Linked DNA regions of Notamacropus eugenii. The protein of the gene in region 2 binds, or shares a complex with, the protein of the main gene of each other region. Links are inferred from orthologs where the notes say so. Each region holds a gene or a part of one and is shown on either strand. Other genes may lie near its edges.

What was found. Proteins that work in one complex are often made in the same cells at the same time.
Region 1: MCM3 (region 2) and GINS2 share a complex: the UniProt entries of both Homo sapiens proteins name them as parts of the CMG helicase complex. The link is inferred for Notamacropus eugenii from reciprocal best matches to the Homo sapiens genes MCM3 and GINS2.

The regions. Positions count from the first base shown.
Region 1 is NC_092872.1:700,243,609-700,250,527, forward strand, and holds the start of GINS2 (DNA replication complex GINS protein PSF2), read right to left. Parts: upstream 3,005-6,919; 5' UTR 2,891-3,004; coding exon 2,801-2,890; intron 1,809-2,800; coding exon 1,694-1,808; intron 1-1,693. UniProt on the Homo sapiens protein: Required for correct functioning of the GINS complex, a complex that plays an essential role in the initiation of DNA replication, and progression of DNA replication forks.
Region 2 is NC_092873.1:118,548,550-118,556,292, forward strand, and holds the start of MCM3 (DNA replication licensing factor MCM3), read right to left. Parts: upstream 3,015-7,743; 5' UTR 2,780-3,014; coding exon 2,702-2,779; intron 1-2,701. UniProt on the Homo sapiens protein: Acts as a component of the MCM2-7 complex (MCM complex) which is the replicative helicase essential for 'once per cell cycle' DNA replication initiation and elongation in eukaryotic cells.

The DNA.
Region 1 (6,919 bases), on a different chromosome or scaffold from region 2:
CAGAAAACAATAGCAATTCCAAAATTAGAGGCATCAGATAGACTACAGAGCGGATGGCCACTTCCCTGGGATGGGAAAAAATAATGATAAGAACTTTTTCCTCAGCAAAAAGTATTTATGTGTTATGGCTATGTCTTCCTTGAACAAGTCAATGAGACTTGGCCTAGATGGTGGTATATCAGCCAGGTCCAGTCTCTGCCAAAGCCTCCGATATACCAGGATTATCACATACTGAAATGATATAGTGAAATTACATTTTTATTCTAGTCAAACATGACTTTATGGCTCTTAAACCTAAGATGGACATAATCCATTTAAAAATTCCAAACTATCTCTGCACCTAATTCTTCAAGCACTGAATTCTTATTGAACTAGGCTATAAGAGAAACTTTTGCCCTTAGCCATCAGGGACACATGTAGGTGAAAGGAATCTCCAAATTCCTTTCCAAATCCCCCAAAGCCTCTTTTATAGGAAAAGACCATGAGTGAATTCCATCCTTATCCAGGAGAGCACTGGTATCATGGAGTATGGAACCAAAGTGACCTCTCAGAAGTTGTTTAATCCAACACCCTCATTTTAGATGAAGAAACAGAAGTTCGGAGTCTTGTCTTGGCTCCCACAGCTACTAAGGTCAGAGCCAGACTTAGAATGAAAATCTCCCAACTCCTAAACCAATGCCACACCATGTGACTCCACAGCCCTAACTGTGAATGGAATCTTCAAGGGCTGCAATATCTCAATGGTCCATTAGGTGCTTTTTAAAATAGGCCCCTTACAACATGGGAAACATGCCTTCCACTTCTGTGCTGAGAGGCACAGACACTTGGCATTCCTCTCGACTGGTTTGGGGCTTCTAGAGCTAGATGCCTCTCTAGGGAGGCAGGGAGGGAAGAAACATTCATAAAGCACCTACTAAGTGCTGGGCACTGTGTTATTGCACTTCACCAATATTATCTCATTTGATCCTTGCACCAACCCTTTGACGTAGGTGCTATTATTATCATTTCATAGAGAAGGAAACTGAGGCAGACAAGGGTGAAGTGACTTGCCCAGGATACTCAGTTGGTCCGTGGCTGAGGTCATATCCAGGCCCAGTACTCTAACAAAAGAAGACCCCTCTTATCCTGGTTCCACTTCTACTGGAAAACAAAACCTCCAAAGTTTAAAACTTAAATAACGTAACTAGAGCCATTTGGATCAAATGCTCAGTAAAGATAGCTCCGACCCTAAAGGCAGCCCTATAAAATGTTCTTCAGTGGGAGGCAACACAGTAGGTATGTGAAGTCAGGAGGTCCAGTTTTGGTCCCTCCATCCCTGTCATGTTTCCTGCTGGGGGCCTTGGGAAAATTCTTTCATCTCGCTGAACTTCAGTGTCTTCCTATAGTATGCATATACATATGCATATATATGTATATATAAGTATGTTTAAAGGCACAATACTACTTACACTATAAAATCAAGATAGAAACTGTAACTTCCTCAAGGACACAAAAATTAAATAAGAATGCAAGGTTTTGTTGTGCAAGTGGCAGTTCCCTAAGTGACAACAGCAACTTCAAGTGTTCAGTAGATAGGAAAGAGGTAAGCCCCTGCCCAACCAAGGGCAGAGAACCCACCACTCAAGACATAAAACAATCCACTGTCCCTAAATCCATCCTTAGCTTCCAACTAGACTTCAGGCCCCTTCCTTACCGACATCCATCCATTCAGGAGGAATCACGCGGCACTTCTGTCTCTGTTTTAGGTTCATTGCCAGCCAAAGAGGTACTTCCACAGGTAAACCAGGATTAAAAGGTCCCAGATCTCCCTGGCAGAGAGGGAAAACAAGTCACCGTAAGAAAACAAGAGACAGAAAACACTTAGGTGAACCTCAGCCAAACGAACCGCTTGGATTCTGTAGAGTAATGGTATTAAGGAAAAAAAAGATACAAAATGACTCAAAGATGGCACCCTGCCATTGGGAAGGCACTGACACTTGAGTGTCCAAATACAGCTACGGCTTAGGTTACTACAATAACTTACTGTTACTCTCAGGAAGTCTACCTCAAACCTACAATTTGGGTGGGGGGGGGGGGAGGAGAGAAAAGAAAAAGGGAGGGAGGGAGAGAGACAGAGAGAGGGAGACAGAGAGACAGAGAGACAGATACAGAGACAGGAAGACAGAGACAGAAAGGCAGAGAGAAACAGAGAGAGAGAGACAGAGAGGAAAGGGGGCGGGGGAGGAGAACGGGGAAGGGAGGGGGAGGGGGAGAGACAGAGAGAGGGAGACAGAGAGACAGAGACAGAGAGACAGAGAGACAGATACAGAGACAGGAAGACAGAGACAGAAAGGCAGAGAGAAACAGAGAGAGAGAGACAGAGAGGAAAGGGGGCGGGGGAGGAGAACGGGGAAGGGAGGGGGAGGGGGAGAGGCAGAGAAAGAGAGACAGAGAGACAGAGAGAGGGAGACAGAGAGACAGAGAGACACAGAGAGACAGAGAGGAAAGGGGGCGGGGGAGGAGAGCGGGGAAGGGAGGGGGAGAAGAAGAGGGAGGGGGAGGGGGAGGCAGGGGAGGGTGGGTGATATCTGTGGCCAGAGGAGGGCTCCAAAGACAAGAGGGAGGGATTCGGGGAGGACAAGCGCAAGTCCGGGGCGGGGTTCTAGGGGAGCCGACCCCCAACCTGAGGGCCTGGTCTGATACTCGGGAGAAGGGGACGGGGAGGGCCGCAAAGGCGAGAGAGGAGACTGAGGTGCTGGGGGGTCGCGAGGGGAGGAGGGAAACTGAGGCACGGGGGGAGGGGAGGCCGGCATCCGAGTACCCCGATGAGGTAGATCTTGTCCAGGCTGAAGTTGGGGATGATGGTGACCATTTCCTTCTCGGCCAGGAACTCCACCTCGGCCGGGTCCATGGGTAAGTCCCGGGGTCCTCCGGAGCACAAGCTGGGAGGGAAAGGCGGAGGCGGAGCCGCCAACTTCCCGCCACTCCGACCGCCCCTCCCCCTGGCGCGCGAGGAGCCTCGGGAGGACCTATCAGGAGAGATTACGCATCCCAGGGGCGGGGCGTCACACGTCACCTTCTCCGGGATTGGACGAGCGCGCGCCCCGCCCCCTTGGTCGGCGCCGGCGTTTCCGGGTTTTCTAGGCTGGGGCCGGGCGCTCCCTCCCTTGGGGGTCTCGAGTGCGGGGGAGGGGGGATTCCCTCAGACCTGCGGGGGGTCGGCCAGAGACCCCGGCTCGTTCCGGATCCGCAGAGACAGAGAGCTCCGCAGCGAGTGGGCTCCCCGAGGGCCCCCCAAATGTTACCGAAGCCCAAGTCAGGAGCGTTGGGCCTCTCTCTGCATTGGCCCCAACCCCGCCTGGAAAGCGAGTGTCTGGCTCAGCACGGATACCCGGAGGAGCCAGCAGTGACCTTCAGCGGTGACCTTCAGCGGTGACCTTCAGCAGTGACCTCTGGCACCCAGCCCGCAGCCCCTCACCGCGGGACTCCTCCTGCCGCCCCATTGCCTTTGGGCATGACGTTCTGGGGAGTCGGCCAGGCCTGGGTTCAAATCCAGCCTCATGACCCTGCCAGCTGTGTGAATCCTGCCTCCAAGCCTCGGTTCCCACCTCTGCTAAAGGAACACGCCGAGGAGGTTGAATTCAGTACAGTTACACCAGCAGTGCCAGGCGAATCAGGAGAGGGAGAGCAGAGGAGTGTCCGTCCCAAGCGTCCAGACGGACAGACAGATCGATATTTACTAGAGGTCGTTCATCCGTCATTTTCGAAGAGGCCCAGTGACCGCACCAAGTCATCGGCCTCAGAGTCCGAAGGTTCGGCGGTGGCCCGGGGGCAGAGGACGACCTTGGCATCTGATGTCCGACAGAGCTCTAAGCGGCCCTGCAGTGCCTGTTTCATCCACCTTACCAGCCGTTGGAACAGCGGCCACTCAGGCAGGGGGCACCTTTATGTGTCTGGAGTAGACCCTTCCCTACTCTGGGAGGTTTGAGGTCTGGCCGTTGTCCACAGCACATCTGCTGAGACTCCTTTACCCGGATGTGGCCCGGATGTGGCCCAGGTGTGGCCCATGCGCTTGCTCCAGCTTCTTGGAGCCCAAGGCCAGAGCTGGGTAATGGGGACCCCAGAGGTGCTCAACCTCCCTGAGCGCCCCATGCACACCAAATAGAGAGAGAGAGAGAACACCACATAGAGGGTTTACTGTTTGTCAGGCGCTGTTCTAAGTGTCAGGGCATGGAGATACAAACCTGATCTCTAGGGACTCATGCTCTCCTGGGGGAAGGCAGGGCATGAAGGCCTTATGGTGGGTGGCATTCTAAGGCAGAAAACCTCAGCTGTCAGAGCCACAAAGTGAGTCTGAATTTCTAGTGGGGTGAAGCTAGTTGCAGAGGAGAACCAGAATAGGAGGCAGGATGTGTAAAGGACAGAAGCAGGAGGGATTGTGTCCTATGGTTAGGAAATTGTAGGCCTCTGTGACTGATACCCAGAGGGCATCTTCTCCCTCCATGCTTCTTCACTTGGTGATCTCATCAGCTCCCAAGGATAATTATGACCATGACTTTGCTGAGTCTACCTGTCCTGCCCCAAACTCTCTTCTGACCTCCAGTCTCTCATCTCCAACTGCCTTTGAGACATCTCTAGCTGGATGTCCCATAGACATCTTAAATTCAACATGTCCAAAACAGAACTCATTATCTCTCCCCCTGAAACCCTCCCCTTCTCCTTTCCTGTTACTGTAAAGGATAACACCAACCTCCTCCTCCCTCAGTCTCACAACCTAGGAGTCATCCTGGACTCCAAACCCTCTCTCATATCCCCCCCTCCAATAATCTAAGCTGTTACCAGGGCCTGTTCATTTCATCTCTGCCACATCTCTTGACCTCACCACGTTTTCTCCTCTGACACTGCAAATCCTCATGCCTTGATTACTGCAGTAGACTGTTAGTGGGTCTTCCTGCCTTAAGTCTCTTCCCACTCCAGTCCATCCACCATTTAGCCGCTAAAGTGAAATCCTAAAGAGCAAGTCTAACCATGTCACCTCTCTACTCAATAAATTCCAGGGACTCCCTATTGCCTCCAGCATCAAATATAAAATTATTTGGTATTAAAAGTCCTTCATAACCTAATGCCTTCCTACTTTTCCAGCCTCCTTACACTTTATACACCACCCTCCTCCCCCTCCCCCCCAGGTAGTTTTTGATCAAGTGATGAAGGCCTCCTGGCTGTTCTGTAGTGAGACACTCCATCTCTTGACTGGGCATTTTTTCTGACTTTCCTCCATTCTTTCAATGGTCTCCCTCTTCTGCTCTTCCTACTGACTTAGTCTCAACTAAAATCCCACTTTTTCAATCCCTTAATTCCAGTGCCTTCCCTCTGTTAATCATTTCCTATTTACCCTGTACATAGCTTGCTTTGTGTATATTGGTTCGTCCTCCATTGGATTGTAAGCTTCTTGAGAGAAGGGCCTGTCTTTTGCCTTTTTTTGTATCCTTGGGGGCTGAACACAGTTCCTAGCACTTAGTAAGCACTTAATAAATGTTTACTGAAGTAATACGAGTTGAGACTGAAAATGGAAGGAGGTAGAAGCCAGACTTGAGGCAGCAGGGAGCAACTGAAGATAATATCTCTAAATTGTTATAGGGAATTCCTGGATAAGAAATTCTCTGCCAAAGCAGACATATATATTCTCTGTAATTTATCATTTTAGAGAGTTGCCTAACGCCCCAAGAGCAAAGGAGTGTTAGCTGAAATGATTGTTAAACTTTCACTGTGAGCATCTACACCTTTGAAATGGGCAGAGGCCATCGATCGGGGCCTGATTTATTGTTGTACTGGTGGTCTACACTTGAGAAAGAGAGACCAAATATTAATGATGCAGATTAAACTTCAAAGTGAATCTTAAACATTTACCAGCACACCCCTACCTGGCTAGTGAAATAATTGAGGTAAACTTAGCACAGAATCTGGTGCGTGGGAAGTGCTTCATGGTTATTGACTGATTTGTCCAGGGGGACAACCAGTACTTTCTGGCTCCAGGGCCGTCTCTGTGTCCCCAAAGCAGGCTGTCTTTCAATGTAAATAAAACTTCCATATATAATCAGCTAGTGGAGATTTAGGGACATTTAAGAAAAAGTCTCTGCCCTCAAGCAGTTCACAATCTAGCTAGAATCTAAATTAACAAATCAGAGAAAGAGGATGCAAGAGGTGCACCTAGGCCAGAAAAGGCATTATGTTTCTTTTGAAATTTTTTTGCATGTGTTTTTTTTTAAATTCTGAACTTGAGAAATAAAACAAGCATTTCTAGAACAAAGTGGAATAGAAAAAAAGAGGATTACACCAGAAGCTGCAGATCCATTATGCTATTCCTTTCAAATATACAATAGTTATCCTATAACTTTTTCCCCCTCCCCCCCAGAAGGATAGACGTGTGTGTGTGTGTGTGTGTGTGTGTGTGTGTGTGTAATCAGTTCCTTTTCTGGATGCAAACAGCATCTTCCTTCATAGGATCTTTGCAGTTACTTGGGGTATTTATTATAGTCATTATTTTACTTTCTTGAGAAAAGATCTCTCACCCTTCGCCCAAATTCAAATCCTATCTTCTCAATGATGCCGATAATTCTTTTAATATGGGGGAAAGTCTCTTATTCTACTAGGTAAATTTGGACTTAAAATCTCAAACCCTGAATGTTCCACTTCATCTCCAGACACTGGGCATTCTCCCTGGGTGTTGCCTATGCTTGCAATGATCTCCCTCCTCCACAATGACTCCTTGGCTTCCTTTAAATTCCTTTAACTAAAATCTCGCCTTCTACAAGTTTTTCCTAAACCCTCTAAATTCCAGTGCCTTTCCTCTGTTAATTATTTCCTATTTATCCTGTATAAATCTTACTTTGTATTTATTTGTTTGCATGTTGTCTGTCCCATTAAAATGTAAACCTTTTGG
Region 2 (7,743 bases):
ATACTGCTTGCCTTTTCAAGAGGTGGAGGAAGGTTAAGATGATTGGAATTGGATGAAGTCTCTATGAAGGAGGCAATTTTTAAAAATCTCTGCTCTAGGACCAGCTTTAATCATTATGTTATATAGCATTCAGTTTCTTTTTTTATTATCTCTTACTTTTATTTTATTATCTTTCTTCCCATTTACACCATTACACTATATATAAATAGATATAGAGGTTGTTTTCCTGGTTCTGCTTTATCTCATTCTGGAACCTTAACCTTCTCATTCTTCAAATCACACTTCTTACATGTCCACATTTTATTACATTCATCATACAACAATTTGTTTAGCCAATCCCTACTTGATGATTATCTACTTTCTATGTTTTTGGTATATGTGCTTTTCTATCACTGACATCAGAGTATGTACCCAGGAGGTTCTCAAAGGGTAGGAATATTTCAGTCACTTTCTTTGAATTCCAGATTACTTTATTGAACAGTTTGACCCATATATAGTTCCATAAAAAAAGGTATTAATGTGCCCAGCTTCATGGACTATTTGCATCTTCTGTGATCTTTGCCAATTTCCTGGGTGAAGTGAAATTTGAGTTGCTTTCACTTTCATCTCTCTTGTTATTAATGACTTGAAATAATCTTTCACAAGTTCATTAACAGCTTGTAAATCTTCTAAGAACTGTTCATATTCTTTGATCATATCGAATGATAAATGATTCTTGGCCTGACGTACTTGCATTGGTTCTTTGTATATCCAGGACCCTTAGAGATCTCTATAGGTAATGCAAAGGCTTTTCCCCCAATCCAACACTTTCCTTTTTACCCAAGTTACATGGATTTTCTTTGTGAAAAAGGTTTTATCTATTTTATGTTATATGATCACCTGTATACTCCTTCCATGTTTGGTGGGGGGGGGGGGGAAGATCTTCTTATCCTAGTCACAGAAGTGAAATGAACTTAACCTGTCATCTAAATTTTTATATCACCTTTCATTTGCCTTTTAGAGTATTACCTTTCATTCAAGTTGCACATTCATTTTTACCTTATTATTGTCTAAGATGGTGCTCTAGATTTAATTTCTGCCAATCTGCTTTCCAGTTTTCCCAACAATTCTTTCAAATATGGAATTCTTTATCAAGTAATTTATCTCTTCTGGGTTATTAAGTTCAATTGTTTTTCATTCTTCTTTTTTCAATTTGTTCTATCAATCTACTTTTCTAATTTTTTTAACCAATACCAAATAGTTTCAATGATTACTGCTTCACAGCAAAACCAAAGGTCTAGAAGTAATACCCTTCACTCTTATTTTTTTCATTATTTCCTTTGAGATTCTGAATCTTTCATTCCTCCAAATGATTTTTATTATTATTTTGCCTACCTCTGTCAAGTATCCCCTTGGTAATTGATTTGGCAAAGTATTAAGTCTGCAAATTAATTTAGATAATATCATCCTTTATCTTCTGACCTAACATGGAATAAGGAAAAGTTTCTGTGTTTTCCCATTGCAAATGATTTTAGAAATGATTTCATTATTAAAAATAACCCTTCAAGGTCTATGACGTAGAATTTTTAGCATAAATAAATGATACACTTCCTCAAAGGCTTTTCCTGCATCTATTCATACAATCCTGTAGTTTACAGTGGTTTTGTTTTTAATATGAACGACTATTAATTGCTTTTCTAATTCTGTATCATCCTTGCATCCATAGTAGAATGCTAACTTGTTCACAATGACTAATTTTTTTATATAGTACCACTTTTTTTGCTAAAAATTTTTAAAATTATAACCAATACTCATTAACGATACTGATGTATAGTTCTCTTTACTTTATCCTCCCCTGGTTTAAGTATTAGGGCCAGGCTATCCCCTTAGGGATCTTCATGTACTGATTCCCAACTTACTGAGAAATCAGATAGACCCCGTTATTTACAGGAAGACAGTCTTCGTCAACCAGCACTGCCTAGGTGGGGGAGCCATCTCGACAGGACAAGCTAATCCACTTGACAGATAAACATGATTTCTTATTTATCTGGATTAAGTAAACACAACACCCAGGACAAGCATCTTCTCCTCCACCCTGCCTCCCTGCCAAAAACAAAACAAACACCAGCCTGGAAAAGCACACCAGCGTCTGGGAGGTCTGTGCTCCCTCTCTTTAGATGGTGATGTTCACAGCTGTCTATGCCAAAAACAAAAAAATGCCACGAGAAATTTTTCAAGAACTATTTCCATTCGACACGAGTCACTACGCACGTGTCTGGTGCCAGAAGCTCCAGACTAGTTTTGGCTACAACAAAGATCGCAGACAAGAACTTTTCCCAGGTGGACCCTACCCAGCCCCACCCCCTGTCCGGCCCCACCCCCGAGAGAACAAAGCCTGGAGCATCCCGGCACCCCGAATCCAACAGAAGCCCACGGTTTCACTCTAACCCACGCTAGCTTTTGGGGGGTCACACGGTCCGGGACAGGGGGCGTGAAGGGCTCCTGGCGAGCCCTCCCACCCACCCCCACCCGCCTGGGCTCGCACCTACGGCCCGGACCCCGCTCCCTCCAACCAAGCCGGCCGAGAGGAAGACAGAAGGACCCTCCTCTTCCTCGGGCCTCTTCCCTGCCCAGCGCCCGCCTCCGCCGGAGCCAACGGCCACACGGCCTTCCCCTGACCCCCTCCTCCCCCAACACGCACGCACACACGCGGAGCCCTCACCTCGTCGTCCAGGAAGTCCAGGTAATCTCTCTGCGCCTCCCGCAGCTCCACATCGTCTATCACGGTGGTGGCAGCCATGCTTCCAGACTGCAGAATGGACTCCGCTTCTTCGCTCCCCCAGCGCTGACTCCTCCCCAGGCGCGAAAGTTACTTCACTTTTCCCGCCACCCAAAGTTACTTCCTAGGCGGCTGCGGAAGCAGGTTGGATTCTGATTGGCTGCAACTTCCGCGGGCGGAAGAACGTGTGCCCAATGGGCAGCTCCTTCCTCCCCTTGGCGTTCCGATACGTCCTCATGGCGGGAAACTTACAGATGTCTATTTGCCCCTCCCCTCCCCTGCGCCCTTAAGTCAAGAAGAACGTAACTGGCCAATCCAGAGGGCGCGATGGGCGGAGCTTGTGACTTTCAGCTCCCGAGGGTTGGGACTGCAACGAAAATACGTCGCGTTGCTTTCTGGGAATTGTAGTCCATATGATAGAAATCTAGTAGTCTGGGTGGTTGGTGCTACCTTGCTTTCAAGCTGTTTCCCTTCTGGGTAACGTACAAAAACATTATCTGTGTCGAGTCGTCCAGTCTCACCTGCGCCTTTGTGTTCACTTTGTGACCGGGAAAGTCAATCCCTTGTTCTGCGCCTTCTTTTATAACAGTTTGGGAATGATGTTATATTACATTGGAGAGGGGGTATCAAGGGACATAAAAAAAGTGACGATCATTGATTAATTTTGTTTTAATCAGGTAGACACGGCCAGAGATGTGCTGGAGCGAGCTCCTTACCCGCAGAACTGGCTGCTGAATAACTTGGAAATCGGCAAATGCTCCAGATGAAGGACTTGATCTGTTTTATTGATTGTCTAGAATTCAAGACAGAGATGAAGGAATGTTAACGATGCATTTTTTAAAAATTATTTTGTTTTCAGTTTTGTACAGTCAAACAATGCAGATTTAAAAATAATAATAAATAAATAATATTTGTTTATTTAATAATAATAAATAAATGATGAGCACATTACACACCCGCACACACACACACACGCACACACGCACACGCACACGCACAGTTAAACACAGTTCAACATTTACCAACACACTCGGGAGATTTCACAGGTCCGCAGAACTGCCCTCACGGATAATCGGGCAACATTTCTGTAATGTGCACTCAGCCTGGGCACCGAGAGTTAAAGTGGTCTTCCCACATTTCTGCAGCCGATACGAATGAAAGGCAGAAATTCCTCTCTCTCTATCACAAGACTGATTCAGTATAAGAATCGATGAAAAGCAAATATCTTCTCACATCCATCACGCAGCTGCTCTCCGTGGTGTCGGAGATAGAGTGCTAGAGCTGGAATGAGGAAGACGGGGGTTCAAATTCAGTCTATGTAACCTGAGGCAAAGCACAAATTCTCTAAACCTCTGTTTCCTCATTTTTAAAATAAAGGGATTGGACAAAGTCTCCAAGGTCCCTTCCAGTTCTAAGTAGTGGCAGGCAGGTGGCGCATTTGGATAGGGTCAGGTAGAACCTGATACATACGATCTGTGTGACCCTGGGACAAATCACTTAACTTCTGCCTGCCTCAGTTTCCCCATCTGTCAAATAAGCTGGAGAAGGAAATGGCAAACCACCCCCAGTATCTCTGCCAAGAAAACTCCAAAGGGAGTCACAAAGAGTCCACATGACTGAACAACAACGTGTTTCTAAAGCGCAGTGCCCGAAACATAGTAGGCACTACGTAAACTTTAGTGATGAGGATGATGATGATAGCGGATGTTTTAAATACCTGGATACATTATTAATATGTGCTCTGTAAGCTTCATGCTATTTATCCCTATAAGTTGAGGAGATTAAGATTGATCCTGTCTTATTTTCTTATTGATCCTATTTACAATTAATTGATTTTGTCCCCTAAGTGCTTCAATCATGGTTCTTTGTCTCTGAACTGAATTCAGCGTTCAGCTGGTCTGTAACAGATTAGCTTTAAAAATACAGCTCTCCTGCCTCAAGGAACTTAACTGATCTTGGTGAATGTGTGAGAATGCAAGGAAGTTTGGGCTTGACACTCTTACTCCACCAAGCTTTCCTTCAAGGATGTCTAGTTTGCTGAGCCACTATCCCACACCTGCACTCAGACAATAAACACCTCTTAGTATCATGAGAGGAGAAGAGGGGTCAATGCTAGCCCCCATTACCAAATTTCCTACCAATCATGTTGTTCCCTGTGCCTCAACTCTTTGACCAATCATGATCCCAAGATGTCATCTACCCTCCTCTTTGTAATTTCCAAAACCTTGTATTAAGAAGATCTGTCCTCTTGCTCCAGGTGTTTGGCATTAATGGAGGCAATCCACTGACCCATTTATTGACAGGTAACATGACCTTGCTCTGAGATCTACCTCAGTTTACCCTTTCATTAAAATTCAATTTCTACAGTTATATAACAATAAATACTTTTGTCCTTCAAAGTTCAAACATGAAGGATACTAGAATTAAGTCCTTGCTCGGCTACTCACTATCTGTTCCTTCCTAACTAAACTAATTCCAAGTACACTTTCCTCATCTCAGAGGGATTGAGAGCTATGTAACCTGTAGCTCAAAGGCTATTTGCATAAAACTCTACAAAATGGCCTTTGAACAGTAGATTATATCTATTGTACCTCATGGGGTTGTTGTAAAGATCATTTGAGCTAATTTCTATGAAATATTTAAAAACCTATCTGTATGATTGCATATTTAAGGTCTTATTGATTAGCTGTAAGACTATGGTTTGAAAGCCTAATATCTGATTACTGTCTGATTTCTACATTTGCAATCTGGAGAACAAAAACCAATTCATGAATCAAGATCCTGTTTACAGTTTTATACAAGATGAGATATGAATAAATGAATGAAAAGATCAGTAAATGGTTACTATGTACCAGGAACAGAGCTAAGCATTAGTGATACAAATATATAAAAAGTGAAATAGCTTCTTTTCTCAAGGAGTTTATATTCCAACACAGCAGGTATTCTTAATTTGAGGTCCACCAATTCCTATAGGATCCATAAATGGATTTCACGGGATCTGAAAATTTGGATGAGAAAAATTATAACTTTTCTTCAGTGTAATTGGTTTCCTTTATAATCCCGTGTATTTTAATATATTAAAAAACATTCTGAGAAGAGGTCAATAAATTTTCACCAATCTGTCAAAGGTGTCTATGATACAAAAAAGGTCTAGAATTCCTGTGATAGGGTGAAACAATACACATAGGAGAATGGTAGCCAAGGGATGTTTTGGTCAGGAAAGTGGTCTCAGGGATATTGAGTTGATCTTTAGGGCAATTAACTAGTTCATTCTTTCCAGAGGCAATGCTGCTGTTGCTGCTGCTGTTACTACTGCTACTACCAGCATTTATAGATCACTTTAAGGTTTGTAGTGTTTTACAAATATTGTCTTATTTTAACTTCACAACAATCCTAGGTCCTATTGATGAAATTTGGAGTGCTAGGACCCTAAAAATGCCTAGGCAGGGTTGCCTGGAATGAATTCACACACTCAAGCCATCCTTCGGTTGAGGCAGTTTATTGTAATACCAATAGAAGTGGGCAGAGTTCCTTTAAAGAATTTACAACCTAATGGGGGTGAATCTAGAGCTTATATAGAAAAGGGGCATGGGAAAGGAATAATTATGTAATGCAAAGGGTCCAAGTGTCATGGGAGCAGGCGTCAGTAATCTATGGAAAATGTAGGGAGTTTTTCAGAGATAATTTTGTTGATACCAGACATTGAGGGAGCTGTTAGAGGCATGGACCTTGGGGATCTGACATGAGGGAGAGTGCTTGGGTCAGGCACCCCTGTATCTGTTGTTTATCTAAGGAATTACAGGGTGAACTCTGTCTGTATCTGTAATAAGAAGAGAATTTTCTCATGGATGGGAGAGGAGGGGCTGGGTTGCTTTCAGAGACATGGTGGTAGGGCTTTTTGGGATCTAGGTCCCACCACCCCATCACTGTTATTATCCCTATTTTACAGATGAGGAAACTGAGGCTGGCAGAAATGAATTTTATTTACTGTTGATCTGATTACTATGTTCAAAGAAAAGGGAGGGACAATAAAATATGTTGCTACGTATCCCGATTTCCATTTTTATTCATATTTATGATCTCTCATCACCTGGTATATTTCAAGGCCAATCCAACTTCAGGCTCACAATACTGAGCAGGTAGAGAAGATCTTGGATACTGTGAAAACTGGTGATAATGTAACGCTTTGTTTTTCAGCATTCCCAGGGAAAGAGAAAGCATGGAGGTAGTTTATTTATTTAGTTTCCCAGATAAGGAGAATAATCTTAGGTACTTTCTTTACAACTTCCAATCTTGGAAGTTGCCTAGAGGAAGGAGAAAGTATAGAGATAAGGACTAGATCAGTATAGTTCTCTGATTTGCCCAGAGTTACATAGTCCATGTCTATTTTTATTTTTTTTAAGCTGGCACAATTTATTTTTTTTTTTATGGTTTCTTGAAATATATCTGTGAAAAAACAGGCTTTAAAAAAAAAAACAACATTGTGTTTCAAATGGAGCTGGGCCCAGGGTCATACCTGAATTCAAATTCAGCCTCAAATACTTGCTGTGTGATCTTGGGTAAGTCACTTAACCTCTGTTTACCTCAGTTTTCTCATCTGCAAAATGGAAATAATAATAGCACCTACCTCCCATGGTTGTTGTGAGAATCAAAAGAGATAATAATTGTAAAGTGTTTAGCATAGTGCCTGGCATAGAGTAAGTACCATATAAATATTTTTTACTATACTATAAATATATTGTATATAGTAATATACATACTATATATTAGTATACATAATATACTAATATATTACTATATATAAGACACTAATATATTAGTATATATAGTATACTAATATATAGATGTTATCATTACTACTAGCTGTATGACTTTGAACACTTAACTTCTGTTTGCCTCAGTTTCCTCAACTGTAAAATTATTATTAGCTATCCCAAAGTGGAGTGGGCTGATGTAGCAGGTCATGGGTTCCCCCTTTTGAAAGT